Macaca fascicularis: one gene and its partners. The protein of the gene in region 6 interacts with the protein of the main gene of each other region in a biochemical or structural test. Links are inferred from orthologs where the notes say so. Each region holds a gene or a part of one and is shown on either strand. Other genes may lie near its edges.

Evidence for each region.
Region 1: of the proteins of HIF1A (region 6) and MAPK1, one has a biochemical effect on the other in vitro, tested with the Homo sapiens proteins (3 studies listed by BioGRID). The link is inferred for Macaca fascicularis from reciprocal best matches to the Homo sapiens genes HIF1A and MAPK1.
Region 2: the proteins of HIF1A (region 6) and EGLN2 form a complex in vitro, tested with the Homo sapiens proteins (3 studies listed by BioGRID, with this or other methods). The link is inferred for Macaca fascicularis from reciprocal best matches to the Homo sapiens genes HIF1A and EGLN2.
Region 3: the proteins of HIF1A (region 6) and EGLN3 form a complex in vitro, tested with the Homo sapiens proteins (5 studies listed by BioGRID, with this or other methods). The link is inferred for Macaca fascicularis from reciprocal best matches to the Homo sapiens genes HIF1A and EGLN3.
Region 4: the proteins of HIF1A (region 6) and HSP90AA1 form a complex in vitro, tested with the Homo sapiens proteins (4 studies listed by BioGRID and IntAct, with this or other methods). The link is inferred for Macaca fascicularis from reciprocal best matches to the Homo sapiens genes HIF1A and HSP90AA1.
Region 5: the proteins of HIF1A (region 6) and EPO form a complex in vitro, tested with the Homo sapiens proteins (2 studies listed by BioGRID). The link is inferred for Macaca fascicularis from reciprocal best matches to the Homo sapiens genes HIF1A and EPO.
Region 7: the proteins of HIF1A (region 6) and MTA1 form a complex in vitro, tested with the Homo sapiens proteins (2 studies listed by BioGRID). The link is inferred for Macaca fascicularis from reciprocal best matches to the Homo sapiens genes HIF1A and MTA1.

The regions. Positions count from the first base shown.
Region 1 is NC_088384.1:31,257,621-31,261,642, reverse strand, and holds the start of MAPK1 (mitogen-activated protein kinase 1), read right to left. Parts: upstream 2,801-4,022; 5' UTR 2,593-2,800; coding exon 2,474-2,592; intron 1-2,473. UniProt on the Homo sapiens protein: Serine/threonine kinase which acts as an essential component of the MAP kinase signal transduction pathway. MAPK1/ERK2 and MAPK3/ERK1 are the 2 MAPKs which play an important role in the MAPK/ERK cascade.
Region 2 is NC_088393.1:47,914,023-47,918,276, forward strand, and holds the start of EGLN2 (prolyl hydroxylase EGLN2), read left to right. Parts: upstream 1-1,454; 5' UTR 1,455-1,547; intron 1,548-1,633; exon of another isoform or gene 1,634-1,820; intron 1,821-2,780; 5' UTR 2,781-3,011; coding exon 3,012-3,848; intron 3,849-4,254. UniProt on the Homo sapiens protein: Prolyl hydroxylase that mediates hydroxylation of proline residues in target proteins, such as ATF4, IKBKB, CEP192 and HIF1A. Target proteins are preferentially recognized via a LXXLAP motif.
Region 3 is NC_088381.1:101,740,303-101,743,802, forward strand, and holds part of EGLN3 (prolyl hydroxylase EGLN3), read right to left. Parts: intron 648-3,500; coding exon 528-647; intron 1-527. UniProt on the Homo sapiens protein: Prolyl hydroxylase that mediates hydroxylation of proline residues in target proteins, such as PKM, TELO2, ATF4 and HIF1A. Target proteins are preferentially recognized via a LXXLAP motif.
Region 4 is NC_088381.1:170,187,694-170,191,715, reverse strand, and holds the start of HSP90AA1 (heat shock protein HSP 90-alpha), read left to right. Parts: upstream 1-1,222; 5' UTR 1,223-1,281; intron 1,282-1,879; coding exon 1,880-2,041; intron 2,042-2,130; coding exon 2,131-2,497; intron 2,498-2,817; coding exon 2,818-2,951; intron 2,952-3,245; coding exon 3,246-3,566; intron 3,567-3,681; coding exon 3,682-3,847; intron 3,848-4,022. UniProt on the Homo sapiens protein: Molecular chaperone that promotes the maturation, structural maintenance and proper regulation of specific target proteins involved for instance in cell cycle control and signal transduction.
Region 5 is NC_088377.1:49,317,185-49,321,174, reverse strand, and holds the start of EPO (erythropoietin precursor), read right to left. Parts: upstream 2,801-3,990; 5' UTR 2,582-2,800; coding exon 2,569-2,581; intron 1,993-2,568; coding exon 1,847-1,992; intron 1,589-1,846; coding exon 1,502-1,588; intron 918-1,501; coding exon 738-917; intron 607-737; coding exon of another isoform or gene 604-606; coding exon 451-603; 3' UTR 1-450. UniProt on the Homo sapiens protein: Hormone involved in the regulation of erythrocyte proliferation and differentiation and the maintenance of a physiological level of circulating erythrocyte mass.
Region 6 is NC_088381.1:129,572,753-129,576,252, reverse strand, and holds part of HIF1A (hypoxia-inducible factor 1-alpha), read right to left. Parts: intron 2,608-3,500; coding exon 2,460-2,607; intron 1-2,459.
Region 7 is NC_088381.1:173,653,187-173,656,686, reverse strand, and holds part of MTA1 (metastasis-associated protein MTA1), read right to left. Parts: intron 3,104-3,500; coding exon 2,988-3,103; intron 2,720-2,987; coding exon 2,568-2,719; intron 2,463-2,567; coding exon 2,273-2,462; intron 2,046-2,272; coding exon 1,956-2,045; intron 710-1,955; coding exon 557-709; intron 404-556; coding exon 368-403; exon of another isoform or gene 1-367. UniProt on the Homo sapiens protein: Transcriptional coregulator which can act as both a transcriptional corepressor and coactivator. Acts as a component of the histone deacetylase NuRD complex which participates in the remodeling of chromatin.

The DNA of each region.
Region 1 (4,022 bases), on a different chromosome or scaffold from region 6:
CATTTTTTAAAAGATCACTATTCAAATATTAGTGAATATTTCAACAAGCCCTCCATAAACCCAGCACTGCTAGCCAACATTTATTAAATGCTAATAACGTGCAATGGAGAAGGTTAACAGCAGGGTATGTCATCAACCTGATAAAAGGCTATAATCTGGATCTAGGATTCAAATTCCAATTATATTTGTATTTCACTTAGGAAAAGAAAATCACAAAAAGAGGACTTAGCATTTCAAATGGAGAGTCAGATGGTCAAATAAGCCTACAGCAGTGACAGAAGTGGTTCCCACATCTAAATAACTTCAGACTAATAAAAACCTTATCAGACAGGAGAAATCTTATCAGATGGGGGTATCTTTTCAATTGACATGTCCTAAACGTAAAAGACTTTTTTCAGTCCACATTTTAGATAAGCTAATCTTGTTAAAAGGGCCAAAGGATGTGATGGGAAATTCTGAGCCTCTCATAATGAGACATGTTCACTGGCACGCTTCCCAGTGAGTGCAACAGCAATGAGATGTATGGTGGAGAAATAATGCTACTGGCAATACTTTCTCTTCATTACTTTTCAGGGCCTTACTTCTTTTAGGCTCGACCTAATTTAAATTCTCTCTTGGCTCCTAAGCCTGTAAGTTCATATTAATTTTCACAGTTGTATTCAGCATTTTGCTCCTAAAGAAAGTGAAAACATTAAAGATTCAATTAAAGTCTCTTTTAAAAGAATTTTAACTAATCTTTCTGTCTAGCTACCATACTTGGTAAAACATGCCTTCTATGGCATTTCTAAAATTATGATGATTGAAATTTGAATACATTTCTGAAACAGACTTGTATTTACTTTGTAACAGTAAGATACAGAAAATTCTGCAAGTATTAATTACACTAAGGAACGCAGAGTGTTTTCCTAAAGACAGCTGAAAAGAGCTGCAGTGTGTCTAGTAGAATCTCAGTCTACAATCTTAATAACTCTAGTTCTATGACCTCAGGAATTGGCTTCACCTCGAAACACTTTCTCACCTGAAAAAAGGAATAACACCATCTTTTCCTCCCTCAATGTGGCTGTTCAAATAAAATGAAATAATATATGTAGCACAGTACCTGCCACGAAGTGCTCAATAAATTATTAGTTTACTTCCTTCAGTCAACACAAAAGACACATTCACAAGATTCAGATTTAAGGAAATCTATTTCCACAAGTCCTCACCAGCACAAAATGCTACCGCTAGTTTGCTTTAATAAAAACAATACCGTCAGCGGGGCGCGGTGGCTCACGCCTGTAATCCCAGCACTTTGGGAGGCCGAGACGGGCGGATCACTAGATCAATAGATCGAGACCATCCGGGTCAACATGGTGACACCCTGTCTCTACTAAAAAATACAAAAATTAGCCGGGCGTGGTGGCGCGCGCCTGCAGTCTCAGCTACTAGGGAGGCTGAGGCAAGAGAATCGCTTGAACCTAGGAGGCGGAGGTTGAAGTGAACAGAGATCGCGCCACTGCACTTCAGCCTGGGCAACAGAGCGAGACCCCGTCTCAAAAAAAAGAGAGAAAGAAAAACCGTCACTATCATTTCACTTTTCTAAGGGACCTGAATCAAGATGAGGGAGTCTACACGTGATTCTGCAATAACTCCATTAAGGCTGCATACATAATGACCACTAAATCATTAACAGGAGTCCATAGCAATTGGGCTAAAACATCTGGGAGCATTTATGCTGGTAAAAGAGCTCACTTGGGGGCTAAAAAAAAGTCAAATTAGGCCCAACTCTAAATGGATCTTTAATAAATGAAGAGAGTAATGTTGGTTTATCCTTCCTGAAACGCTAGCAGTACGATATTAAAATCCACTTGAAAGTACAAACTTCAAGACGGAAATACTCCACCAACACTGGTGTCAGTAATCCATTTTAGAAAGCCTGCGCGGAGACCACCATTAGCACCGCTGAGGACAGTTAATGAAAGCCGTTGGCTGCAAACAGAGGCGAGGAGAGAAAAATTATTTCGGTGTTCTGCACACACACGGAGGCGAACCGCTTTCAGGACCTCAGCAGCCACCGCCGCCAACACCGACAAGCATCTGATGGAATTCCCGGTTTTACAATCGAAAGTCCAAAAGAAGGCCATGATACTAGCAAATTGGGGGGTGGAGGCGCTTCCGTTGCCTTCCCGAGGGTCCAGACTTTAAAGGCGGCGCTGCGCCCGGGGCCGAGGGTCCACTAGTCCCGGCCTCCGCCCCCCGCCCCCCACGCTGCGCCCCTTCCCGAGCGACCGCCGGCCCGGGAAGCGCGAGAGCAACACCACCTAAACCTCAACCGGCCCAGGGCCCCGCCCGAGCCCTGGCGCGCGGACCGCAGTGAAGTCCGGGTTCGAGGTCGCCGCGGCGCCCGAGGCCGAGGCGCCGGCGAGGCCGAGGCTGCGTCCGCTGCGGCCCCGGGCGGCGGGGGGGCCGGGCGTGGCCGGGCGCGGACACTCACCACACCATGCCGTAGGCACCCTCGCCGATGTACGAGAGGTTGGTGTAGCGCGGTCCCACGTCGAACACCTGCCCGCGGACCATCTCCGGGCCCGCGCCCGCCGCCGCCGCCGCCGCCATGTTGGCTGCCGGGCCGCCGCCGCCTCCGCCGCGCTGAGCTCGACGCTCGGCGGCCGCCGCTCAGCTTCTATCGCCCCTCCTGAAGGGACTGTGCCGCCGCCGGTGCAGCCGCCGCCGCTGACCGGGAGGAGGAAAGAAGACGCCGTGTGGCAGACCTGAAGAGCCCACGACAACTCGGACCGACTGCCTGCCTGCCTGCCAGACTGACGGGCGGGCCGGCGGGCGGGCGCAGGGAGGGGCGCGCGCCGAGAAGGGTGCCCGGGCGGGGCCAAGCAGCGTGCATGCGGATTGGTTCCTAGCGGCTGGGGGCGGGGCCGCGCGGCCCAGCGGAAGCGGCGGGCTCCGGGAGGGGCACTGCGCGGCGTTGACTAAGGGGGCACCACCGGGCGCGGTCACGTGCGTTCGCGGGGGCGTCGGCGCGGGACTTGTCTCTTCAGACACCCAGGGAGACAGACGTGGGGCAGAACCCACGGGGCTGAAGTGAGAGATGGCAGGGGCCCGGGCGAGCACCCGAGGAAGTACCGAACAGAGCCAGCGAGGGACAAGGGGCTGTGCTTGAGGCCCGACGACGCGCCATAGCCCGGCCGCGCCACAGCTCAGGCCTCTGCGAATCCGTGGTCCACACGCTGATGAACTTAAGAGGCCTTGGCACTGGGGCAGAAACCGAAAGGCATGACCCCAGACCGAGAAAGATATTTGCATACTGAGAAAGTGTGAAACACAATTGTTGAGATTAAAAGGAGACAGAGAGGATACGCGAATCAGGTTGGTTCAGATGTTTGTTGAGCACACTCCATGTTCCTGGGAGTTACTTTTTAGAGAGAGACAGACAGACAAATACGTGTAATACTCAAGTTGTGATAAGTACGTTGAAGAAGTACAGAGCAGAAGGGAGGGTGCGGTGTCTCACGCCTGTCACTTTGGGAGGCCAAGGCGGGCGGATCACTTGAGATCAGGAGTTTGAGACCAGGTCTCTACTGAAAATACAAAAATTAAGTCCGGGCGAGGTGGCTCATGCCTGTAATCCCAGCACTTTGGGAAACTGAGGCGGGCGGATCACGAGATCAGGAGTTCAAAACCAGCCTGGCCAACATGGTAAAACCCCGTCTCTACTAAAAATATAAAATTTAACTGGGCGCGGTGGCGGGCGCCTGTTATCCCAGTTACTTGGGAGGCTGAGGCAGGAGGATGGCTTGAACACGGGAGGCGGAGGTTGCAGTGAGCCGAGATCGCCTCACTGCACTTCAGCCTGGGCGACAGAGCAAGACTCCGTCTCGAAAACAAAATAATAATAATACAAAAATTAGCTTGGCGTGGTGGTGGGTGCCTGTAATCCCAGCTACACGGGAGGCTGAGGCAGGAGAATCGCTTGAACCTGGGAGGAGGAGGTTATGGTGAGCCGCGCCACTGCACTCCAGGCTGGGCAACAG
Region 2 (4,254 bases), on a different chromosome or scaffold from region 6:
ATGTCTATAGGAATGTGTGCTGGTTGTGTGTGATGCTGATAGCTGTAACTGCTCTGTGGCCTTGGTGATTGTATTGGTGAGTGTATTGGTGAGGCTGGTATTGTTTGGGACATCAAGGCCAAGGGATGGGAATTTGGACCTATAGGTGGGCCTCCGGTCTGTGCATGCCTGATGCCTGAGAATCAGAGGCAGTGACTCACTACCGCTTGTGTGCCTGTGCATGTGTGCCTCTGAGGTCTGTGTGTGTTTCGGTGTGAATTTGGCTCCTTTTAAACACCCATGTGTGGCCAGGTGTGGTGGCTCATGCCTGTAATCCCAGCACTTTGGGAGGCCAAGGCAGATGGATCACTTGAGCCCAGGAGTTGGAGACTAGCCTGGGCAACACAGAGAGACCCTATCTACAAAAATAAAAAACAGAAAAAGTTAGCCAGGTGTCATGGTACACACCTGAAGTCCCAGCTACACCGGAAGCTGAGTTGTGAGGATCACTTTAGTTGGGAGGTTGGGCCTGCAGTGAACTGTGATCGTGCCACAGCACTTCAGCCTGGGCAGAAGGGTAAGACCCCATCTCAAAAACAAAACTAAACAAGAAACACCCTTGTGTGGCCATGAACCCTGTGTGTGCCCTGAGGACTGTGGGTTTTTGTGCAATCCTCACGCATGTGTAGATACCAGTATGCATGTCCTTGTGCTCACCCGAACCGCCCTACGCCCTCAGGTGGCCTGCTGGGGACTGGTGCAGCCCCCTGAAGACACTCCCAGTTGCTCGTCGCCCTCCCACCTCCGCGTCCGCCTTACCGACCCCGCGGGAGCCTTGAGTCCCAGCTCTCCAGAGTTACGGTGGAGGGGGCGGGGCATTCAAAATGACCTTATATTCCTTCGTCCCCCAAAATGTTCCCAGCTCTGTAGCGTTCCGTGGATTTTTTTTGTTTCATTTTTTAATTTTGTGTAAAGATAAGGTCTCACTCTGTTGCCCAGACTTTCCCTGGTTCTTTATTCTGATTCCCACGATTGTCCCGAGGGGGCAGGGCGGAGCGGGTCTTGAAAATACACATTGGCACAACATCCCTTCTAGTCCGCGTTCCCTTTTCTCAAGGGCATCCCGCACTTTTTCTCCTCCGTTATAAAAGATACTTATGTAAATTACTGACGTGCGAATTTACATACATTTGCCAACTAACTGCGCAGCCATTTATCCATCTCTCACCCCCGTTCCTGGGCTGCGAGGAGGAGGAGGAGCTGACCCTGTAAATGAAGTCACGCGCACCGCGCTGCCGAACCCGGTGCCCGCGCTGGGGGGGAACGCGGGGTGGGCCTGTTCATGTAAATCACATAATTTGCGTGCTCCGCCCCGCCAACGCCACTTGATTCCAACATGCAGGAAACGCCCCCTCCCAGACCCGGCCCCTCACACTGCGATCCCCCTCCCGCGCAAAGGGGGCGGGGCGGAGGATGATGCAAATGAACCTCGTGTCGGCCACGGAGCCCTGTTTCCTTTCTCCTTGGCTGGGGGCTTGTCCCGAACTTCCTCGCCCAGCGCGGCTCAGGTCTGCGCAGGCGCCGTTGCCTCCGTTGGGGCGCGGTCACGTGCCCAACGGGCGAGGCGGGGCGGGGCGTCGCGCGCGGTGGGGGCGGGGTATGGCGCGCTGTGCGGCGCAGGGCGGCTGGCACAAACGGCGGCGCCGGGGCCGGAGGAAAAAGCTTGGTGAGGAGGTCGCGGGGCGAGAAGGGAGCGGGAGGAGACTGAGTCGGAGCCGGGGCGCCGACACGAACAGGGCGGGGTGTGGGGGCGCCCGCCGGGGCCTGCCAGGGCGACCCCGGTAAGGGGGATGTGGGTGCGGCGCGGGGGAGGGGACGCGCGCCGGGGACGTTGGGTGCCGGCCGTTGGGGGGGTTGGGGTGGGGGCGGGGAGCGCGCGCCGGGCGGAGGCCGCGGGGAGGGGGAGGGGAGGGGGTCCGAGCGGCCCCTAGGCCCTGTCCCTGTCGCTACAGCTCTCCAAAGTGGCCTCAGGGCCCGCCCGGGGTTGGGGGCGTGGGGGTGCCCCGGAGGAGGGTGCCTTTTTCCCTCGTCCTGTCTCCGGGTGCGTGCACCCTCTTCCGTCCTTCCCTCTGCCGCCGCGGACCCTCTCCCCGAGGGCCCCTCCCTTCGGTCAGTCTCGGGACCTCCCTTCCGTCTGGGCGTGTGTCCGCCCCCGGCCGGCTTCCTCCCGTCGGGCTCGGGTCGACCCTACCGCCCCGCTCCGTCCCGGGCCCTCCCTCCCAGCTTCCCTCCCAGCTTCCCTCCGGTCTGTTTTTCTGTCTCTGGGTCCCTCGTTCTCTTTGTCTTTGGACTCCCCAGTTTCCTCTGTCTTTTGACCCCCCCGCCCCCAACTCTGATTCTCTCAGAATCCCCCACATTTATCTGTCTGTCTCTGGAACGCCGAGGCAGATCCCTCCTATTTTCCAAACTCCCTCCTTCCCACTCCTCCACACCACCCTTTTCTACTCCAGCCCTCCTTTCTCTGTCTTTGGTTACCGCGTCCCACAACCCGCACCACAGTCCTCTGTGTTAGGGTCGTCTACCCAGCCTCTGGCCTCCAGCCTTTCCCTATCACTGTCCCTTGTCTGTCAGCGGACTCTCACACCTCCAGATTCTCAGGGTCTTCTCCCCGACTTGGCCCCAGGTTTTGGGGGACCTCTATAGTCTGTCCTGGTCGTCTTCCCCACTCCTGCCCATGCCATCCCCTCTTTCCCTAGCCTGCCTGTCTCTAGCTCCTCTCACATCCCTTTTCTTTTTTCTAGCCACCCTGAAGGGTCCCTTCCCAAGCCCTTAGGGACGGCAGAGGACTTGGGGACCAGCAAGCAACCCCCAGGGCACGAGAAGAGCTCTTGCTGTCTGCCCTGCCTCACCCTGCCCCACGCCAGGCCTGGTGGCCCCCAGCTGCATCAAGAGGCAGAGGAGGAGGCGGAGGAGGGTGGCACCATGGGCCCGGGCGGTGCCCTCCATGCCCGGGGGATGAAGACACTGCTGCCATGGACAGCCCGTGCCAGTCGCAGCCCCTAAGTCAGGCTCTCCCTCAGTTACCAGGGTCTTCGTCAGAGCCCTTGGAGCCTGGCCGGGCCAGGATGGGGGTGGAGAGTTACCTGCCCTGTCCCCTGCTCCCCTCCTACCACTGTCCAGGAGTGCCTGGTGAGGCCTCAGCGGGGAGTGGGACTCCCAGAGCTACAGCCACCTCTACCACTGCCAGCCCCCTTCGGGACGGTTTTGGCGGGCAGGATGGTGGTGAGCTGCGGCCGCTGCAGAGTGAAGGCGCTGCAGCGCTGGTCACCAAGGGGTGCCAGCGACTGGCAGCCCAGGGCGCCCGGCCTGAGGCCCCCAAACGGAAATGGGCCGAGGATGGTGGGGATGCCCCTTCACCCAGCAAGCGGCCCTGGGCCAGGCAAGAGAACCAGGAGGCAGAGCGGGAGGGTGGCATGAGCTGCGGCTGCAGCAGTGGCAGTGGTGAGGCCAGTGCTGGGCTGATGGAGGAGGTGCTGCCCTCTGCACCTGAGCGCCTGGCCCTGGACTATATCGTGCCCTGCATGCGGTACTACGGCATCTGCGTCAAGGACAGCTTCCTGGGGGCAGCGCTGGGCGGCCGCGTGCTGGCCGAGGTGGAGGCCCTCAAACGGGGTGGGCGCCTGCGAGACGGGCAGCTAGTGAGCCAGCGGGCGATCCCGCCGCGCAGCATCCGTGGGGACCAGATTGCCTGGGTGGAAGGCCATGAAGCAGGCTGCCGAAGCATTGGTGCCCTCATGGCCCACGTGGACGCCGTCATCCGCCACTGCGCAGGGCGGCTGGGCAGCTATGTCATCAATGGGCGCACCAAGGTAAGGCCAGGTGGGGGCCTCTCTGGCGGGGCTTTGCAGCATCCTGGTTTGGCATTCAGTGCTCTGAGCACAGTGGGTTTGGAGACAGGCTTCTGGGGGGCTTCTGGGTTTAGGCAGTTCAGTGGAGTGGGTTGCTCACTTGTGGGGACTTGGGGGGGGCCTTGTCCTCCCTGTGGGCCTTAATGTGTGCACCTGTAAGCTAGGAGTTTGTCCTGGAGCCACAGTGGTTCTTGACTTTGCCAGGAACCCTCTTGAAGAAACTCACGAGAGTTGCTGACATTCACAGCATGGGCCTTGGTGGGGTTCATGGCCTCCTGGTGTCTGTCTGGGGCCCCAGACCAAGCGCAGTGATGTAGACAGGCACACAGTTCACTTGTCCGTCCTCTGTTGCTGTCTGTCCCTGTCC
Region 3 (3,500 bases), about 28 Mb from region 6:
CAAAAATAAGCCACAAAGCCTTTGGCATTCACAAACCATAGTAAGCCATGGCAAGCAGCGATCAATGAGACATATCACCCTGAGGGAGAGGACTGTGTGGGAAATCTCTCTTGGGGATGGTTTTATATCCTACAGTTCTATTTTTGTGGAACTTTCCCAATGCTGCTTCTGGGAGGGAAAAGTGTACATCTTATTCTGCATTGAGAGTCAGAGCAACTCTGATTTAAACTGAAAAAAATTAATCATTAATTCTAATATCAAATTACCTTCTCTTCATCAACCACCCTTCTCAGAGGTAGGGTTAATAATCACCCTACCTATCCCCCTTCAAATTAACTTCATTATTTTCTTCTTAACAACTTTAGTACTAATTCCACTGTCGCAGGAGGTTATGAAGTGGAAATAGAAATGTTTCATCAGTGGGAGATAGGGCAACTATGAACCCAATATAAACTCTCCTCTAAGTTATCTGAATCATTTTCCTATAGTTTTTAACCCCACACTCTACTCCCATTATTCAAGAGTACCTTGGCATCCCAATTCTTGTTCAGATAGTAGATGCAGGTGATGCAGCGACCATCACCGTTGGGGTTGTCCACATGGCGAACATAACCTGTTCCATTTCCCGGATAGCAAGCCACCATTGCCTATGGAGAAATCCCAAGAAAGCTGGTTAACAAAGCTGAGACAGACAATCTTCTCCTCCCACTGGTGAGCAGATAAGTAACACAGTCTCCTTGGGTGCTATGTGACATTTACAGGTAGTTGCTGGCTTCTTAATTTCATGTATGGTACATAAATTTGGACCCTTCTGTGCATAAGAGTAATGGCCAGGTCATACTATGGCTCTGTCCAGTAGAAAGTAGTTCAACAATATTCCCAAAGTTCTAGAACATTTTACACAGTCTTTCTTAAAGTAACCTAACTACATGCCCTATTTGCATAACCTATTTGGATGCCCTGCCTTTCTTCAATACTCGTTTTTAGAAAAGCAGTTTCTAGTTTCCCATGCTAGACCTACAAAATCAGAGTCACTAGGTGTGGAGCTTAAGGATTATGACTGTTTAGCAAGTGCCCCTGAATCACTCACACTGTTTCAGAACAATGGCTAAAGGTACTTGCATACACAAAGTGACAGAACCAATCACCAAAGGAGGAAAAGGTCAGGCTTACTCAATAAAATGCTTAGGATAGAAGGAACAGAGGAAGATCAATAGGAAGCCACGCCCTAACTTGTTAACAAAGACAATACAGGGAGATTCCTTTCAGGAAAAAAGCCATGCATGTATCTTAATATGTGTTTCTTAATGCATGTCTTCTTCCTAATAATTATCAAATCAGGTGATAATCTGAAGCTCTCTTTGTCTAACTGCTACCTGTATCAATCAGGTGGAGGAATAAAGTAGAAAGCCATACCAAAAATCCTACTGAAAATTACTATTAGAGAAAACAAACCTCTAATTGTTCCATGGGAAAAACTGTAACAGAGAGTGGGGAGAGGGAAGAAGGCAAAGTACAGAAAGCCAGTTCTTTTCTTCACAGGATACTGCCATGTTTTAACAATATTTTTTATAGGGATGCAGTAGGTGCAAGGAAAATATTGGAACCAACAACATAAGATGAGAACAGGGAATTTTTTTCCTATTCTACTCACTGATGTATTCTTAGCACCTAGGACAGTGCCTGACATATAGAAGGTATCCATCTAAAATGTGATAAATAAATCAATGAACTAGTGAATGGCTCTTTCTCTAAAGAGTAAATTCACGTTTTACCAAGATCAATAGCTATTTCTGTCATTTTAAAAGACCTATCTTCAAACATACATGTAAGGATCCAGTCCATAGATTTCCTGATAAATGGCAGCATTGCTTCATCGGTAAAATGACCATTTGAGTACAGCCCCAAGCTAATGGGCTAGTGGTTCAATGAATCAACTTGAACGTGGCTGCCGAGTCACTCTCAATAGTAGCATGAAACTACTGCTCCTATGACATGGAACTAGGCATCACACACCTTGCATACTAGATCGTGCATACCAGATCGACAATAAGGCTGAATAGTAACTTGACTTCACAACAATTTTAAATCTTAAATCACCATCTCCCTCAAACTCCATATCCTCATGCAGCAAACAATCCCCATATCCTGCCTTTGAACATGAAAATGTCAATGCAATGTCATCCTTAGAGCTCAAGTTAGGCTGTTAGCTTGAGCATCTTTCAGAAGGTGAAACTGTGAGGCAACATCAGCAATAAAGGTTTAACAAATGAAGGTACCACTAAGCAAAGCATGGCTTGAGGAAGGGTGATTGGTAGCAAACAGAATTGAAGGGCCTAGCAAGAGAAGAAGAGATAAATAAAGTCACCTATAATGACTACAGAATTACCCACCCCTGGAAGCAGCTATTAGGATTATAAGAGCCACCACAGAGCCAATAATGAAAGTCGCTTAAGCCACAAACAATTACAGGCTGGATTCACTATTATCTCACGCTCCCCCCACTGAGTGTGTCTGAAAAGAAAAAGTACGACATCAATGCTATAATCTTATATGCTGAAACAGCTCTTCTCTAAGGAAAAGGTCAGTGGTCTGGATGCCTACCATAGTTCACTCTGCAACTAACTGTGATCCCAGGCTGTCTCTTTCCTATAAAGAGGGGATTGGGTTACACATCTGTCAAAGGCCCAAGAAGATCTAAGACTTGATCTAAGCATCAACCCTTGAAAAAGCAACATCGTTCTTCAGGTCATTAAGGAGTGTTTCTCTGCCTCAGAACTCAGCTCAGATTAAAATATTGGGGAAAAAAAAAAAAAAGATGGATACAAACTCACAAAAGTACACCCTCTACTAAATGCTGCATCTATAAAACACACAGAGACAAACAGCCAATTCCAGAGGACTTACTATTAGGACAAAACCCCTACATGTCAGCAAAGTATCTGTCTGCTTAAGAGGGAGGAACAGAGATAATTTTTCTGGCCAGAGTGAATATTCACCCTCTCTCCTGGTTCCAGAAACCACATGCATCAAGTTGGAAACAATGGAAGGAAATCATTTCAAGCATCAGTGGGCCAGTTGAGGCTACATTCGGCCAATTTTATCAGTGTGTTTTCTGGATGAGTGCCATAGGAGATGGGTCTTTGCTTGGGCACATTCCCAACTATTTGCTCGTCTTTGACAGGGTCTAAAACCATGAGGCTAAGGATGCACCAAGAAGCAAGCCTGACTTCAATAACTAGCCATTCACTTCTGTGCCAATTTGTGCACGGGGCAGTAACAAACTCCGGAAGCAGATCCGTCCAACTGAGTTGCTATCTAAACCTCATCAAGCCGGGGAAGGGATTTAGTGTTTAACAGAAGAGAAGTCTTCAATGCTGTATTGTTAAAAGAACGGGCCAGAACAATTTAATGATCATATAACAAACATGCCAAGCAATAAACTGACACATGTCAAGAGGATGCCTACTTTAGTACAGGCTTTTTTATTTTCTAAAACT
Region 4 (4,022 bases), about 41 Mb from region 6:
GTCTAAGGATCCCCAACACCTCCAAGGTTCTCATAGCTGGCCTTGACCAAAATATCTGAAAATTCTCATGTAGAAACTGGTTCTTCCAGCCTGAGCAACATGGTGAAACCCCAACTATACAAATAAATACAAAAACTAGCCGGGTGTGGTGTCCGCGCTTGTGGTCCTCCGCCCGCGCTCGTCCCAGTTACTCGGAAAGCTGAGGTGGGAGGATCACCTGAGCCCGGGAGGTCGAAGCTGCGGTGAGCCAAGATTGTGCCACAGCACCCCAGCCTGGGCGACAGAGGGACAGCCTGTCCAAAAACAAAAAAACACCAAACCTGTCTTTTAGGGAAGGTTAATCACCAAAATGTCAAGTGTTAGATACTTAATTTGGAGACCTCAAATCGATCGGCAAAACGATGGGCTTTTAAAAAGCATGCCGGGTGTAGCTGGGTAAGCATGAATTTATTCACCAAGGGCCCGATTCCCAAGCTAAGGGATCCTGAAGTGTGAAGGACATGGCTTCCGGGGAACCCAAAGGTAGGGAGCGCTCCTGAGCCAGCAGTGGGTCTGGAGACTCCCCGAGCGCGCAGGCCGCGGGACGGCGTCCCCTGCGCGCAGCAGCTAGAAGCCAACAGCCCAAAGGCCCCCAGGGAGCAGAGCCCCGCGATCCCGGCGCCGCCTGCGGCTGGGTTTTTTGGCAGCGGGCGCGCCGTCCGTGAGGATGACGGCTCCGGTAGTTTCCCAGGCGTGCGAGACCCGGGGCGCTCCCCGTCCACGCACGGCCCTCCCTCCAGGCGCGCCTCCCGCCCCAGCCCCGCATTCTGCGCAGCCCGGGTGACCAAACTACACCTCACTTCAAAGGCCCCCACGCCCGGGCGTGCCCTCCGCCCGCGCTCGGCAGGTGGGAGTGCAGGGAAGAGAGCGCGGGCGGCCCCAGAAGGCGCCCGGACCTTCCCGAGAATTCCAGGCCGCGCAGGCGCATTGAGGTCGGCGCGGGGGCGTGCGAGAGGCGCGGGGCGGTGATTGAGGGAAGGTTTCCCGGGCTGGGCCACGAGCAGGGCCTGCGCGCGCCAGCGGGAGGGGCGGGCCACGGCGAGGGCGAGGGCGCAGGCGCAGGCGCGCGGCCGCGGCGGCGGTTGGGGAGGGTTCTTCCGGAAGGTTCGGGAGGCTTCTGGAAAAAGCGCCGCGCGCTGGGCGGGCCCGTCGCTATATAAGGCAGGCGCGGGGGCGGCGCGTCAGTTGCTTCAGCGTCTTGGTGCTGCTGTGCGGTGGAACGTTTGCAGCCTTTTAGCCAAGGTGTGAGGGGCGGTTGTGAGGGCCTGTGGAGGTGGATTGGGGAGTGGGGGCGGTTGGCGCGGAGCGGAGGCTGTGGGGGCCGAACGGGAGCCCTGAACCCGCCAGGGCCGCTCTCCCGGGAGGCCGCGCTGCCTATTCCGGAGGCCGTGGGCCCGCTGCTGTCTCCGCAGCCCGCCTCAGGAATGGGCTGGGCGGCTGCTCCCCGAGGCTCCGCGGCAGCCCCGGAGCTGGCGCCGCACGCGAGCAGAGCGGCCCTTTGGCTGGGGGCCCCCCGGGCGGCCCAGCTGGGGCGCAGGCGGAGGAGGCCGCCCTGGCGGAGCCGCGGCCCGCGCGGGAGAGCACACGGGGTGTCGGTTGGGGACCGCGGCGCGGGACTGGGCCGGGCCTGCAGTGGCCTCCCGGAAGCGCGCACACGCTCGTGGTAGTTACCGCGCTCCGAAATGAGGTCATCCTTTGTCAGCCGCCCTTCTATTTTCGGTTTACTTAAACTTCGCAAATCTGCAATCCGGCTTTAAAAATATTGGGAGGACGCGATGGAATCTCGTGTTGCCCCTGTAGACGCTCTGCAGGGTTTTAAACCGGCGCGGTGTCGTTCCAGATGCCTGAGGAAACGCAGACCCAGGACCAACCGATGGAGGAGGAGGAGGTTGAGACGTTCGCCTTTCAGGCAGAAATTGCCCAGTTGATGTCATTGATTATCAATACTTTTTATTCGAACAAAGAGATCTTTCTAAGAGAGCTAATTTCAAATTCATCAGATGTAAGTCGTTTATTAACCCAGAATAGGATTTTGGTTTCAATATGAACTTCTTGGGGGCTGTATGCTTAATTAATATTTTGTGTTAATAGGCATTGGACAAAATCCGCTATGAGAGCTTGACGGATCCCAGTAAATTAGACTCTGGGAAAGAGCTGCATATTAACCTGATACCAAATAAACAAGATCGAACCCTCACTATTGTGGATACTGGAATTGGGATGACCAAGGCTGACTTGATCAATAACCTTGGTACTATCGCCAAGTCTGGGACCAAAGCGTTCATGGAAGCTTTGCAGGCTGGTGCAGATATCTCCATGATTGGCCAGTTCGGTGTTGGTTTTTATTCTGCTTATTTGGTTGCTGAGAAAGTAACTGTGATCACCAAACATAACGATGATGAGCAGTACGCCTGGGAGTCCTCAGCAGGGGGATCATTTACAGTGAGGACAGACACAGGTAGGTACCTGAACACTCACTGGTTAAGTCAGTGGCGGAATGGTGGGGTGTTGCAACCCTTGGACCCCTGGGGATGCGGCGAAGTTCACAGAAAGTGTGTTTACCCAAGGATCAGGAACAAGCTAGAGCTCTGAATTAGTGTGTAATGGCATGACTTGGTGATTACTTCTTTTGGGCAAGGCACTTAGATCTGCTGTGGGAGCCTTTGCATCTGTAGTAAGGGCAAACCTCGCTTCATAGACACGTTATAAGGGTTAAGCATGGCGTTGAGCACTAAATTGAATGTATTATTGAGTCAATTTTCCTTATTTCTCTTGCAGGTGAACCTATGGGTCGTGGAACAAAGGTTATCCTACACCTGAAAGAAGACCAAACTGAGTACTTGGAGGAACGAAGAATAAAGGAGATTGTGAAGAAACATTCTCAGTTTATTGGATATCCCATTACTCTTTTTGTAAGTTTCTACATAATTGCAGAGTGAATTACTGTCTGTAGGTGACTGGGGTGACTGTACTACATCCTTAGTTCCTAGGTCTGTTGAACTAGTCTGAAGCCTGGGGAACCTAAGCTCTACTAACTGTGAAGGTTCCTCGGGTTATTAAGTAGATATATCAAATATTGATGAGAAGCTGCCTGGCTGCTTCTCATCCTCGGTAATTTAGGCTTTGGCCTTAGGTTGAAAGTAGTGGGGCAGCGCTATGACTTAGTTCTAGAGTGCAGCAGTGATGCGATTTCATGTCTTTTGAAGGTGGAGAAGGAACGTGATAAAGAAGTCAGCGATGATGAGGCTGAAGAAAAAGAAGACAAAGAAGAAGAAAAAGAAAAAGAAGAGAAAGAGTCTGAAGACAAACCTGAAATTGAAGATGTTGGTTCTGATGAGGAAGAAGAAGAAAAGAAGGATGGTGACAAGAAGAAGAAAAAGAAGATTAAGGAGAAGTACATCGATCAAGAAGAACTCAACAAAACAAAACCCATCTGGACCAGAAATCCCGACGATATTACTAATGAGGAGTACGGAGAATTCTACAAGAGCTTGACCAATGACTGGGAAGATCACTTGGCAGTGAAGGTGAGTGAGGGACTGATGGATGCTTCAAGCTTGTCTTTAGATTATCATCCCACCACCCCAAATATCTGCTATAATGCATTGTTCATTGATACTTAGTGTGTTTGTTCTATTACAGCATTTTTCAGTTGAAGGGCAGTTGGAATTCAGAGCCCTTCTATTTGTCCCACGACGTGCTCCTTTTGACCTGTTTGAAAACAGAAAGAAAAAGAACAACATCAAATTGTATGTACGCAGAGTTTTCATCATGGATAACTGTGAGGAGCTAATCCCTGAATATCTGAGTAAGTATAGATAGGAAAAATAATCACTGTCACTGATTAAAGAAATACTTCTGGCTGGGCATGGTGGCTCACACCTGTAATCCTAGCAGTTTGGGAACCCGGGGTGTGCGGATCACTTGAGGTCAGGAGTTCAAGACAAGCCTGGCCAACATGGTGAAACTCCATCTCTCCTGAA
Region 5 (3,990 bases), on a different chromosome or scaffold from region 6:
AAGGGGGCTCTTGCCACCAAGGGAGTGCCCGTGAGGCCTGGAGAAGTCACAGCTTGCCACCTAAGTTCTCCAGGTCATCCTGTCCCTGATGGTAGGTGCAAAAACAGGTAAATTGCCTCCAAAGCGTGTCCTGGCATCAAATTTTGCAGGTGGCCGAGTGAGCTCAGGTGTTTTCCCAGCATTGTCTCTGCTCCTGAGTTTAAAGCTGCTCTCTGAATGCTTCCTGCTCTGGGCCCTCAAGTTGGCCCTGCGACATCCTTAGATCTCAGAGTTGTGCTCTGGACAGTTCCTCTGGCCCCTGAGATGTCATTGCTGGCACTGGAGTGTCCATGGGACAGGCTGGCGCTTAGCTGAGAGCCCCTCGATGGGGTTCGGGAGTGGTGAGGGAGGGTGTGGCACAGGCAGTGTTGGTGAGGGAGGTGGTGGATGTGCCCAGCTGGACGCACCTGGTCATCTGTCCCCTCTCCTGCAGGCCTCCCCCGTGTACAGCTTCAGCTTTCCCCGGAGGAAATTGGAGTAGACTCGGAAGAGTTTGCAGAAAGTGTCAGCAGTGATGGTTCGGAGTGGAGCAGCCGAGGCCGCATCTGGGAGGGAGATGGCTTCCTGCTGCCAAGGAGAAAACAGGTCACTGCAGTACCGCAGAACGGGAAGGAATACGGACAATTCCTGTACTCCTTAGCAAGACCCTTCTCCCCTTCTTACAGAAAGGGCAAGCAGAAGTGTCCGCTCCTACTCACCTGGGCTCCCAGCGCCCGAAGCAGAGTGGTGATGCTGCGAAGGCCACTGATGGCTTTATCCATGTGCAGCTGCAGGGGCTCGAAAGGCTGGGAAGAGTTGGCCAACACAGCCTGGCCCCGCAGGACAGCTTCTGAGAGCAGGGCCAGGCCCTGCCAGACTTCTACAGCCTGCTGCCCGACCTACAGGGAGTGGACTCTGGGAGTCAGCTGACCCACGCCACCCTCTCCCTCCTGCCCCTCAGCAGCCCCAAGCACCAAGCTGAGCAAACAGAAAGTATGCAATAAGACTTGAATAAATGAATGAATGAATGAACGTATTCCATACAGCCCTCATTACTTTTCTTTTTTCTTTTCTTTTTTGAGACAGGGCCTCACTCCATCACTGAGGCTGTAGTGAAGTAGTGTGATCACAGCTCCCTGCAGCCTCAAATTCCTGGGCTCAAGTGATCCTCCCGCTTCAGCCTCCCGAGTATCTGGGATTACCACCATGCACCACCTCTCCTGACTAATTTTTTTAAATGTTTGTAGACATGGGGGATCTCACTATGCTGCCCAGGTCGGTCTGAAACTCCAGGGCTCAAGCAATTCTCCCATCTCGGCCTCTCAAAACCCTGGGATTACAGATGTGAGCCTCTGCGCCCATGCAGCCTCATCTCTGCTGCTCCATTTTACCTTTCCCTCCATCATTCTCCCTTCCATCTTATCAGGCTCGCAAAATGAGATTCTCCAAAAGAAAGGGAAAAAAAAAAAAAAAAGGAACTCACCTCCATCCTCTTCCAGGCATAGAAGTTAACTTTGGTGTCTGGGACGGTGATATTCTCATTCAAGCTGCAGCTTTCGGAACAGCCCATCTGAAATGCACACAGCCCGGGGACTTAAGGGTCCCTGAGGGCTCTAACCCTGGCCCACAGGCCACAGGACCCGCTGGCTTTGCTCTTTGCCTAGTTTCCAGGTATGGTTTGGGGCCACCAGACTTGTTCTTATGTAGGGGGGCAGTACCTAGCTTCCCACCTCCACCCCAAACCAAGTGCCAGGTTCCTGGATCTGGGAGGAGTTCCCTGAAGCCCTGAGTGTGAGTTCTGTGGAAAGTGCTGGGAAAGGGGTCTCACCGTGACATTCTCGGCCTCCTTGGCCTCCAAGAGGTACCTCTCCAGGACTCGGCTGTCACAGATGAGGCGTGGTGGGGCGCCCGGGACTGGGAGGCCCAGAGGGAGCGACAGCAGAGACAGGAGAAGCCACAGCCAGGCAGGACATTCTAGAAGACAGAGTCAGGCTGAGAGTCAGGCGGGGAGGAAGGAGAAGGGTGGCTGTGGGAGGACAGCTTCCTTCATCCCCACGCCTCTGTCCCAGCTCGTCCTTACTGTCCCCAACCATGCAAGCACTCAGGTGCTGTCTCCCTGGCCTTCATTCAATCCTGCTGCGGTGTGCACACCCTACCCCCAGCTACCAGCATCCACTTCTCCGGCCAAACTTCAATCCTGGTGTGACAGAGGCTTTCCCTCGGGCAGATACGGCAGATACGTGGTGGCTCCAGCCCCCAGGTTATCAGCTTATCAGCTTGCTCTCCACTGGCACAGCAGAACCCCCCAAACCTTCTTCCCCTCCACTCCCAAACTGTGTTCCCGTCACAGGTCAGGTTTTTGCCATCCCCAAGGACTCCCCCAAGTCCCCGCTGGCACGTGGAGGCTGCCCCACCCCCTCCCCCTTCCGGGGTCCTTGACAAGTCGCCGGTCCTTGAACCCGGCCACCTCCCGGCTAATAGCCCGGGCGCTAAATCCCCGCTCAAACAGGGACCCGGGTGGGCGGGAGCGCCCAGCCCGCGAGTACTCACCGTGCACCCCCATCTCCGCGCCTGGCCGGGGTCCCTCAGCGACCTAGGGCGCGCCCGGTGACCACACCGGGAGTCCTCATCCCGGGAAGTTCAGCGGGGCAGGGCCAGCCCCACGGGCCTGGAGGAGAGGGCGGCTGTCCAGGGGGCGCGGGATCGGAGCAGAGCCGGCGCGGTGGCCCCGGTCCGGCTCCGGGACGCACGCAGCGAGCGACCGGGGTGGCCCAGGGACTCTGCGGCTCCGGCCGGGGGTCGGGGCTGTTATCTGCATGTGTGCGTGCGCGGGTGGGGGTGGGGGAGAGGCTGTGTGCGTGAGGGGTCGCCAAGGGTAGGGGCCACCCGGGGTCAGAGCAGGGGGCAGGACGCCTGGGTTGAGGCTCGCTGGGGCGTGAGCGGGGCTGCTGCAGACGGCCCGTGCTGGTCATGGGGCCTGCTCCCGGGCCCTGGGTCCCGGGAGGGGAGTGCAGCCGGGTGCGCACCCTCGGGACGGGCGGAGCGTGCTATCTGGGAAAGGCTGGGCTCCTGGACACCTCCCCTGGGGGGCATCCCGGTCTTGGGCGGAGACTCAGAGATGCCTGGGTTGCTGGGTTCCCGCGAAGTACCTGGGTCCGGAAGCCCAGAAGCTTCAGGGACGGGCAAATGGGTGGTCTCCCTTCCCACAATCCCAGGACATGTTCTAGAAACAATGTTAACCATGTTGAGGAATTTGATGGGGGCAAATAGGGCAAGAAATTTGGGGTTCTTCCTCCCTACCCCATTCCTCACTGTCTAGGACTCTGCAAACCCAGACACTTAAGTTTTTTTTTGTTTTTATTTTTCTTGAGGCGTAGCCTCCCTCTGTTGCCCAGGCAGTGCAGTGGTGCCATCTCCACTCACTACAACTCTGCCTCCTGGATTCAAGCAATTATCCTGCCTCAGCCTCCGGAGTAGCTGGGACTACAGGCGCACCTTTACACCCGGCTATGTTTTGTATTTTTAGTAGAGATGGGGTTTTGCCATGTTGCCCATGCTGGTCTTGAACTCCTGATCTCAGGTGATCAGCCCTCTTCGGCCTCTCAAAGTGTTGGGATTACAGGCGTGAGCCACCGCACCCAGCCCCCACCCCAGACACTTAACTTTTAGTGCACAGAGCACACAGTCCATTGTGCAGGCTACACATGCACCTTGACATCTGTTTATTTGACCTGTGGTGTAGGTTAGCTAGGCTGCATGGCCGAGTTCTTAAGAACGCTGAAATACAGCTAACACCAAGAGTGATGGGGGCTGGGATTTACAGCTAAGGTTTTATGGCTTCTGAAAGCCCTGAGCCAGATGGGTGAGATTCCCAGAGCAGGAGACCAAGACTAACTGACCTCTCACACCTTAGAAAGTGGCCTCGTCCTTGAGCCCTCAATGTCCTCATCTGTCAAATGGGTGTGGTGAAAC
Region 6 (3,500 bases):
CAGAGACCATTATCCTAAGTGAGATAACCCAGACACAGAAAACCAAATGCTGCATGCTGTCACTTGTAAGTGGGAGCTAAACATTGGGTTACTTGTGGACATAAAGATGGCATCAACAGACACTGAGGACTACTAGGAGAGAGGGGCAAGGGTTGAACAACTGTTGGGTATTATGCTCACTATCTGGGTGACAGGATCAATTGTACCCCAAACCTCAGCATCACATGATATACCCATGTAACAAACCTATGTATGTATCTCCTGAATCAAATATAAAAGTTGAAATTAAAAAAAAAATTCCCAGTACAAGATAATTTGACTAATTTCAGTTAAGAATTTCAGATATCTAGACTGGGCACAGTGGCTCATGCCTGTAATCCCAGCACTTTGGGAGGCTGAGGCAGATGGGTCGCTTGAGCCTGGGAGTTCAAGAGCCTGGCCAACATGGCAAAACCCTGTCTCTACTAAAAATACAAAAAATTAACCCGGTGTGGTGGTGCACGTCTGTAGTCCCAGCTACCTGAGAGGCTGAGGCACGAGAATTGCTTGAGCTCAGGAGGTGGAGTGAGCCAAGATCACGCCACTGCACTCCAGCCTGGGCGACAGAGTGAGACTCCGTCTCACAAAAAAAAAAAAAAAGAAAGAAAGAATTTCAGATATCCTTTGGGAAGAGTGATGATGACAAGGCAATTTGTAGTCAAGTACATGAAGGACACCAACAAATCTTCAGAATTGTTGTGCTGACACACGTTATGAAATTGGCACAAAAGAACTCTTTGGCATCAATATATGAGGCATGATCTAAGGATAGTCCTAAGAGAGGGGCCATATTTTCTTTGGTGGTAAGAACATAAGGTGATACCACCTACAGGACAGGGTTGAAGAGGGATGATGAGCAGCAGTTTATCTTCACGAGTGGCTTAAATGTAAATTACTCCTTTAATTAACATATTAAATGTTCACTATCTGAGATGAACTGAGAATGCAAAGATTAACCTTAAGAACCAAAGATTGACCTTAAGAAATTTATAACCCAGTGTGAAAGTAGATATGTAAACAATTAAAATACACTGTGATAACTGCTAAAATAGAGAAGGCTTGCTTCACTGAGAAGCTAACGAGCTGGTACTTGGGATCAAGTGGCATTTGCTAGGCAGACTGGGGTGTGAGGAAGAGAAAGACATTCCAAGTGGAAGATTCATACATAATGGTAAAGTCACAAAAGAACTCTGTGGCACTAATATAAAAACATTAAAGGATGGTGTCAGAAGTGGCAAAAATAAAAACTGGCCAAAGTCTTCCTAAGAGGGGTGACCCTAGATTTTAAAGGGAAGGCTAAATCTCTGATGCATGAGTATGATGGTAAACAAGGATGCTATACACCTAGGCAAGTGTTTATCTTGGAAGTGATAAAAAGATCACTAAAATTCTAAGGAAAATAAGATGATGAGATATCCACACTAGAAAGCTTAGCCTGGCAGTAATGGGCAAGGTGGACTAGAAGGTGGTAATAATGTGGACAGGTAGACTAGATGGGGCAGGAGTCTGGTAAAATAGATCAAATTAAAGATTAAATTGTGATGTACATAATATTCACAAGCCAAAGAGCTAAGTGAAAAGTTCATGAATATACAAGAGCCATGTATTACATCATACAGCTTATTAATCTCATAGAATTTCATTTACTTTTCATTATAACCTTCTGAACGATTATCTACATAGATGAAATTCAGAAAAATGAAGAGACTTCCCCAAGGTCAGGGAGCTAATGAGTGCTAGAGCTATGATACAAACGTAGGTCAGTATTCTTCCTACAAAAAGAACAGAGCTGTCTTGAGATAATATATGCCAATACCTGTATAAGTAGACCAAACCAGTCGATGGATCTGGTGTTTTTTTCATGGTCTTTTTAAAAATAGGAGTGAAGGTATGGGGATAGACAACTACTGACAGTATTTAGTGGTATCACTGTAGAATAGCTGGACTGGAAACCTAGGTCAGAGTACAGAAAATAATAATTTGGTAGAGATGTAAAAGAATTAAAATTTGGCCGGGCGCGGTGGCTCAAGCCTGTAATCCCAGCACTTTGGGAGGCCGAGACGGGCGGATCACGAGGTCAGGAGATCGAGACCATCCTGGCTAACACGGTGAAACGCCGTCTCTACTAAAACATACAAAAAAGTAGCCAGGCGAGGTGGCAGGCGCCTGTAGTCCCAGCTACGTGGCAGGCTGAGGCAGGCGAATGGCGTGAACCTGGGAGGCGGAGCTTGCAGTGAGCTGAGATCCGGCCACTGCACTCTAGCCTGGGTGACAAAGCAAGACTCTGTCTCAAAAAAAAAAAAAAAAAAAAAAAAATTAAAATTTAGTTAATATTTATAATCTTATCTTCCTATAAATGAACAGAGTATCCAAAAAGAATCACTATTTATTCCCCAAAAACGTTTATTTCTCAAACTTACCTCACAACATAATTCACACATACAATGCACTGTGGTTGAGAGTTCTTGGTGTTATATATAACAGTTGCTTGAGTTTCAACCCAGACATATCCACCTCTTTTGGCAAGCATCCTGTACTGTCCTGTGGTGACTTGTCCTTTAGTAAACACTAGGGGGGAAAAGGAAAAAGAATCATGCAAAGAAAATATTGTAACTTTGAATTTTCAATTAAATGAACAGATGCTGAATGTTGATCATTGTTTTAGAAAACAAATGTTTATTTAGTGGAATCAGTTGTAACTGCTTAAATTCAGACAGTGTGTCCCAGAATAGCTGAAAATATACCCATTTCCTTTTTCAAATCCCCTAAATAAAACTCCTTTGCTGCCAATGAGCTAAGTGAAGAGTTCATGAATATACAATCTTCAGTAACTAAAATTCCTTTAATGACTTAGGTTGAAAGTGTAAGATTAGAGAATAATCAGTAGCCTTTTTCAAGAAAATGGTGCCACAATAACTTCCTTAAATTCTGACTAAAGTTTCCAGAGAACCAAAGATACTTTAAAAAGCTGTACGTAGCATATTTAAATATAAATTGATACCACATTGTAAGTCTTTCGGCAATTTAGGCAATTTAAATTAAATATTGATTTGGGAGAAAGTACTGAATAAATCCTAATGATGGTATTATTTTGAGGATTGGGGGGTCCTGACTGCAGACTTGGATTTACTCTTGAGTTCAAGGCTCATCAATCACACAAACTCAGTGATATTCAGGTATCCTCAATCACAGTCAGAAGTCATGCATAGGTACAGATTAAACAGGTGAGATAGTCCAAAGTTTAACTTACCTTGGGATCTTAACATTCATTTGAGTAAAATTCAGAATCAAATCTTATGTCAAAGGTACTTGTTAAGGGTGACTATAGTCAAAAACAATTTAATCGTACATTTTAAAGTAACTAAAAGAGGCCAGGTACCAGGGCAGGTGGATAACCTGAGGTCAGGAGTTTGAGAACAGCCAGGTCAATATTGCGAAACCCCGTCTATACTAAAAATACA
Region 7 (3,500 bases), about 44 Mb from region 6:
GGCAGGCGCACGAAAGGATTGCAGGCACAGCACGGGCGGCCCCAGGAGCTGAGGCTGGCAGCATGCGGGCAGTCACAGCGCGATGGCAGACAGCGCAGGCAGGGGCGCCAGGGCCACACGTGCCAGGACAGTCCACTGACAGGGTGTGGGGCCAGGGGGCCGAGGGCCAGATGCCTGGGCTCAGGGGGTCTTCACCAAGGGACCAGTGATGTCAGGAGGAACGTGGGGGACTGGGCTGTGGCCGGGCTCACGTGGACTGCCCCAAGCATGGGCCCTGGGCCGCCCGCCGCGGGGACACACTCAGCAGCACAGCACAGGCATCACGGGCGGGGCTGGCGCAGCGCCCGCCCGCGGCCCCAGGCCTTACCCCTACTGGGCATCAAGAGGCGCTTCTTCATGTTGCCTGGCAGCGCCGGGGTGGGAGAGAGGGAGAGAAGACAGCGTCAGCACGCACCGCGGGTGCCCCGGGCGGGGGCGGGCCGGACTCACCGGGCGGGGAGGGCCACACTCACCGGGTGGGGCAGGCCCGGATTCACCGGGCGAGGGGGCCACTCACCGTCCACCCCGTTGTGCTGCTCATAGCTGCGCTTGCCCAGGATGGTGGGGGAGCCGTTGTTGATGACAGGGGCCGCCTTGGCGGGCGTCAGGCTGCTGAGCACGCTGGACACACTCTTCACGGGGTCAGGCTTCGGGGGACGGGGGTGGGTCTCTGCCAGGAATGACAGGCAGAGCGAGTCGCCTCTGCCTGGCAGGGGATAGGCAGGCAGGCCCAGGCTCCAGCCCTCATGGTTCTGGGATACGACCAGGAACCAAGCTCCACGCGGCCCCCACCCCTGAGGCCCCATCCTGACTGGGCTGGAAGCAGGGAGGTCACCACAGAGCCAGGAGCCCAGGAGCACCAAGTGCTCTCCCGCAAGACGTGTGCCCAGGCCAATCCTGCACCTAGAGAGCAGGGAGACCACCTGGCAGGGGCCAGGCCCCTCACCCCCGCACAACAGGATCCATACACAGGCCCGTGAGCACAACACCTATTCAACAGCCCCCATGTCCAGGCCTCCGGAGCTGCTGGTGGAGGGCTGGCTGCTGGTCAGACAGCGAACCGACCATCCAGCCAGCCTGGCCAGGGACACAGCTGCTGAGGACCAGCCCTGATACCAGCCACCTCTTCCCACAGGACAGGGGCCACGACCCCAAACAGGGAGCAATGCCAAAGCCACTTGAATCGCAGAGCACACGTGGTTCATGGCTCTGGAATGTCCTTCTCAGGACAGTCACCCTGTGTCAGGAGAGCAGATACACAAGCCCACTCGAGCCCAGCAAATGGGGGAGGCCCCCCACCGCCACCACAAATGTCTGGCCCAGCCCCCAAGCTGCTTCTGGCTGGGCCAGGGTAGCTGGCTGAGGTTCTCAGGTATCCTCAGACCCTCAAAGATAAGGGAACCCCTGCCTGAGGCTGCTTGCCAGGTGTGCACCTCCCCCTGCCGAGGGCCTACAGAGGCCTGAGTGCTGCCCCTGTGGAGTGGGCATGGCTCGGGAATATGCTCCCTGTAGGCAGCAGGTGCAACCCTGCCTTAGTGGCATTACAGGCAGGGGTGTGCGCTGCCCAAACCCTACACCCTCAGGCTCCAGGGACGATCAGAACACAGGGAACGGTAGCGAGGCTGGCAGGGAAGCCCCCTGGGTGTGCCTTGAGGAGGCTGGTCCCGCAGAAGACAGGGCGGCAGCCACTCTGCACTGGGCCCCGTCAAGACCCCAGGAGCAGAAAGCAGCCGGGGTCCCAGTGGGTCGGCCTGAGCCTGGCACGGGGCAGAGTACCTCAAAAGGACAGTTCCAGGCCCTGTGGGGCTGTCCAGGAGCTCCTAGCTAGAGAAGGCTGGGAGCACCAGTGCATCAGCTTGGGTCAGAAGCTGCCTGCAGGCAGCATTAGGAGCCCCCATCGCGCCTGGACTGCTCACCAAGATACCGGAGCACGGCTTCCAGCGGCTTGCGCACCGCCTGCTTCAGCACCAGTGGGCTCTGGGAGGCTTCGGGCAGCCGCGCCGTGCCTGCGGGGTACCACACAGTGTGAGGGGTGGGGCATCCCCAGGGAGCACGGGACCCTGCCTGCGCCTTGACCTGGGAGCCCTCACTGCGCTCGGCCGTCAGCACCAAGGAGGAAATGGGGCTCCCTGAGATGAGAACTCCCAGTGGGGCTACAGGCTGGGCCCCAAGGTTGCTGTTCCCTCCCCACTGCCTGCAGCAACAGAGTGAGCGGGGCGTTGGGATGACTCACACTCGGCCTTGATGGCCGCGCTGTTGATGGGCAGGTAGGGGTGCCGCGCGGCATGCCATGGGCGCAGGATCTCACGGCACAGGCGCCGGGCGATCCGTGTCAGCTTCGTTGTGTGCAGATAGAAGGCCTGCCTGGTCTTCATGGCGAACTTGGGGCTCCCGCTGCTCCGGGCTGGGAGGCCGTGGGGACTCTGCGGAAGGGGGCATAACCGCCCCGACACAGTGCCATGACCGGGGGCCGAGGACCCGCAGGGCTGACACACTCGCGGCAGGCAGGGCGGATGTCCCCCCCTTACCATGTTACTGCGGTTTGGTCCTGGCCTCTCTCCATCTAACCGGGTTGGCATTTTCAAGCCACCATATTTCTTCCAATATGTCCAACAAGATGCGCAGAGACGACACTGCATGTTAGGGGGACCCCAAGAATACCACTGGTAAGACTGTGTGGCTACGGACAACAAAGTTGGAAATAGACGGATTCTTAAGCAGAACCAGCGATGTCAGAGTATTCCCCACCACCCCCACGCCGGCCGCCCCACCCGCCAGGCACCGCCGCACATTCCCCAAGGCTCTCCCAACCACATCCCTGGGACGCAGCCCCCCATCATCAGTGGGCCCCTCCCAGGCTGGGCCACGCTGGAGCCCTCAGGGCCAACACAGGCACCACGGCCCACAGGCGGGTGTGCGGTGTGCCCCCGGCCATCCAGGGCACTTACTGTAACAGCTCTCGCAGGCCCGGCCAGCGCCAGGGCTCTGGCCCGGTGCTCCCGTGCCATTCACCACACCGGCCTTGACGTTGTTGACGCTGATTTGGTTCGGATTTGGCTTGTTACTTAAAGAGATAAAGGAGAGAAGAGAGGAGTTGCAGGAGCACAAACCTCAAGGGCCCATCTGCCCAGCACGCACCGCGGCTGATCACCCCTCGTCCAGAACCATGTCCTCGCACCCCCCTCGGCCTCAGCAGTTCCTGGGAGCCACTGCTGAGGTCTGAGCTGTTTTCCAGGCCCCCGTGCTCCCCCTAGCATGGAGCCCAGCTCAGGGACTGAACCCTGGCGGTGTGGGTTGGAATCCCAATGCCCCCTTACTGACCAGGAGGCCAGGACGACGGAGACACGGCCATCGCGTCTGCAGCCAGAACCCCCCAGCCCTGCGCCGCCCTCACAGGGGCTGCCCTAACTTTCCCAGCCTCTGAGCCTGAGTTTCCTCGGGACCCGCCTGGCCCCGGCACC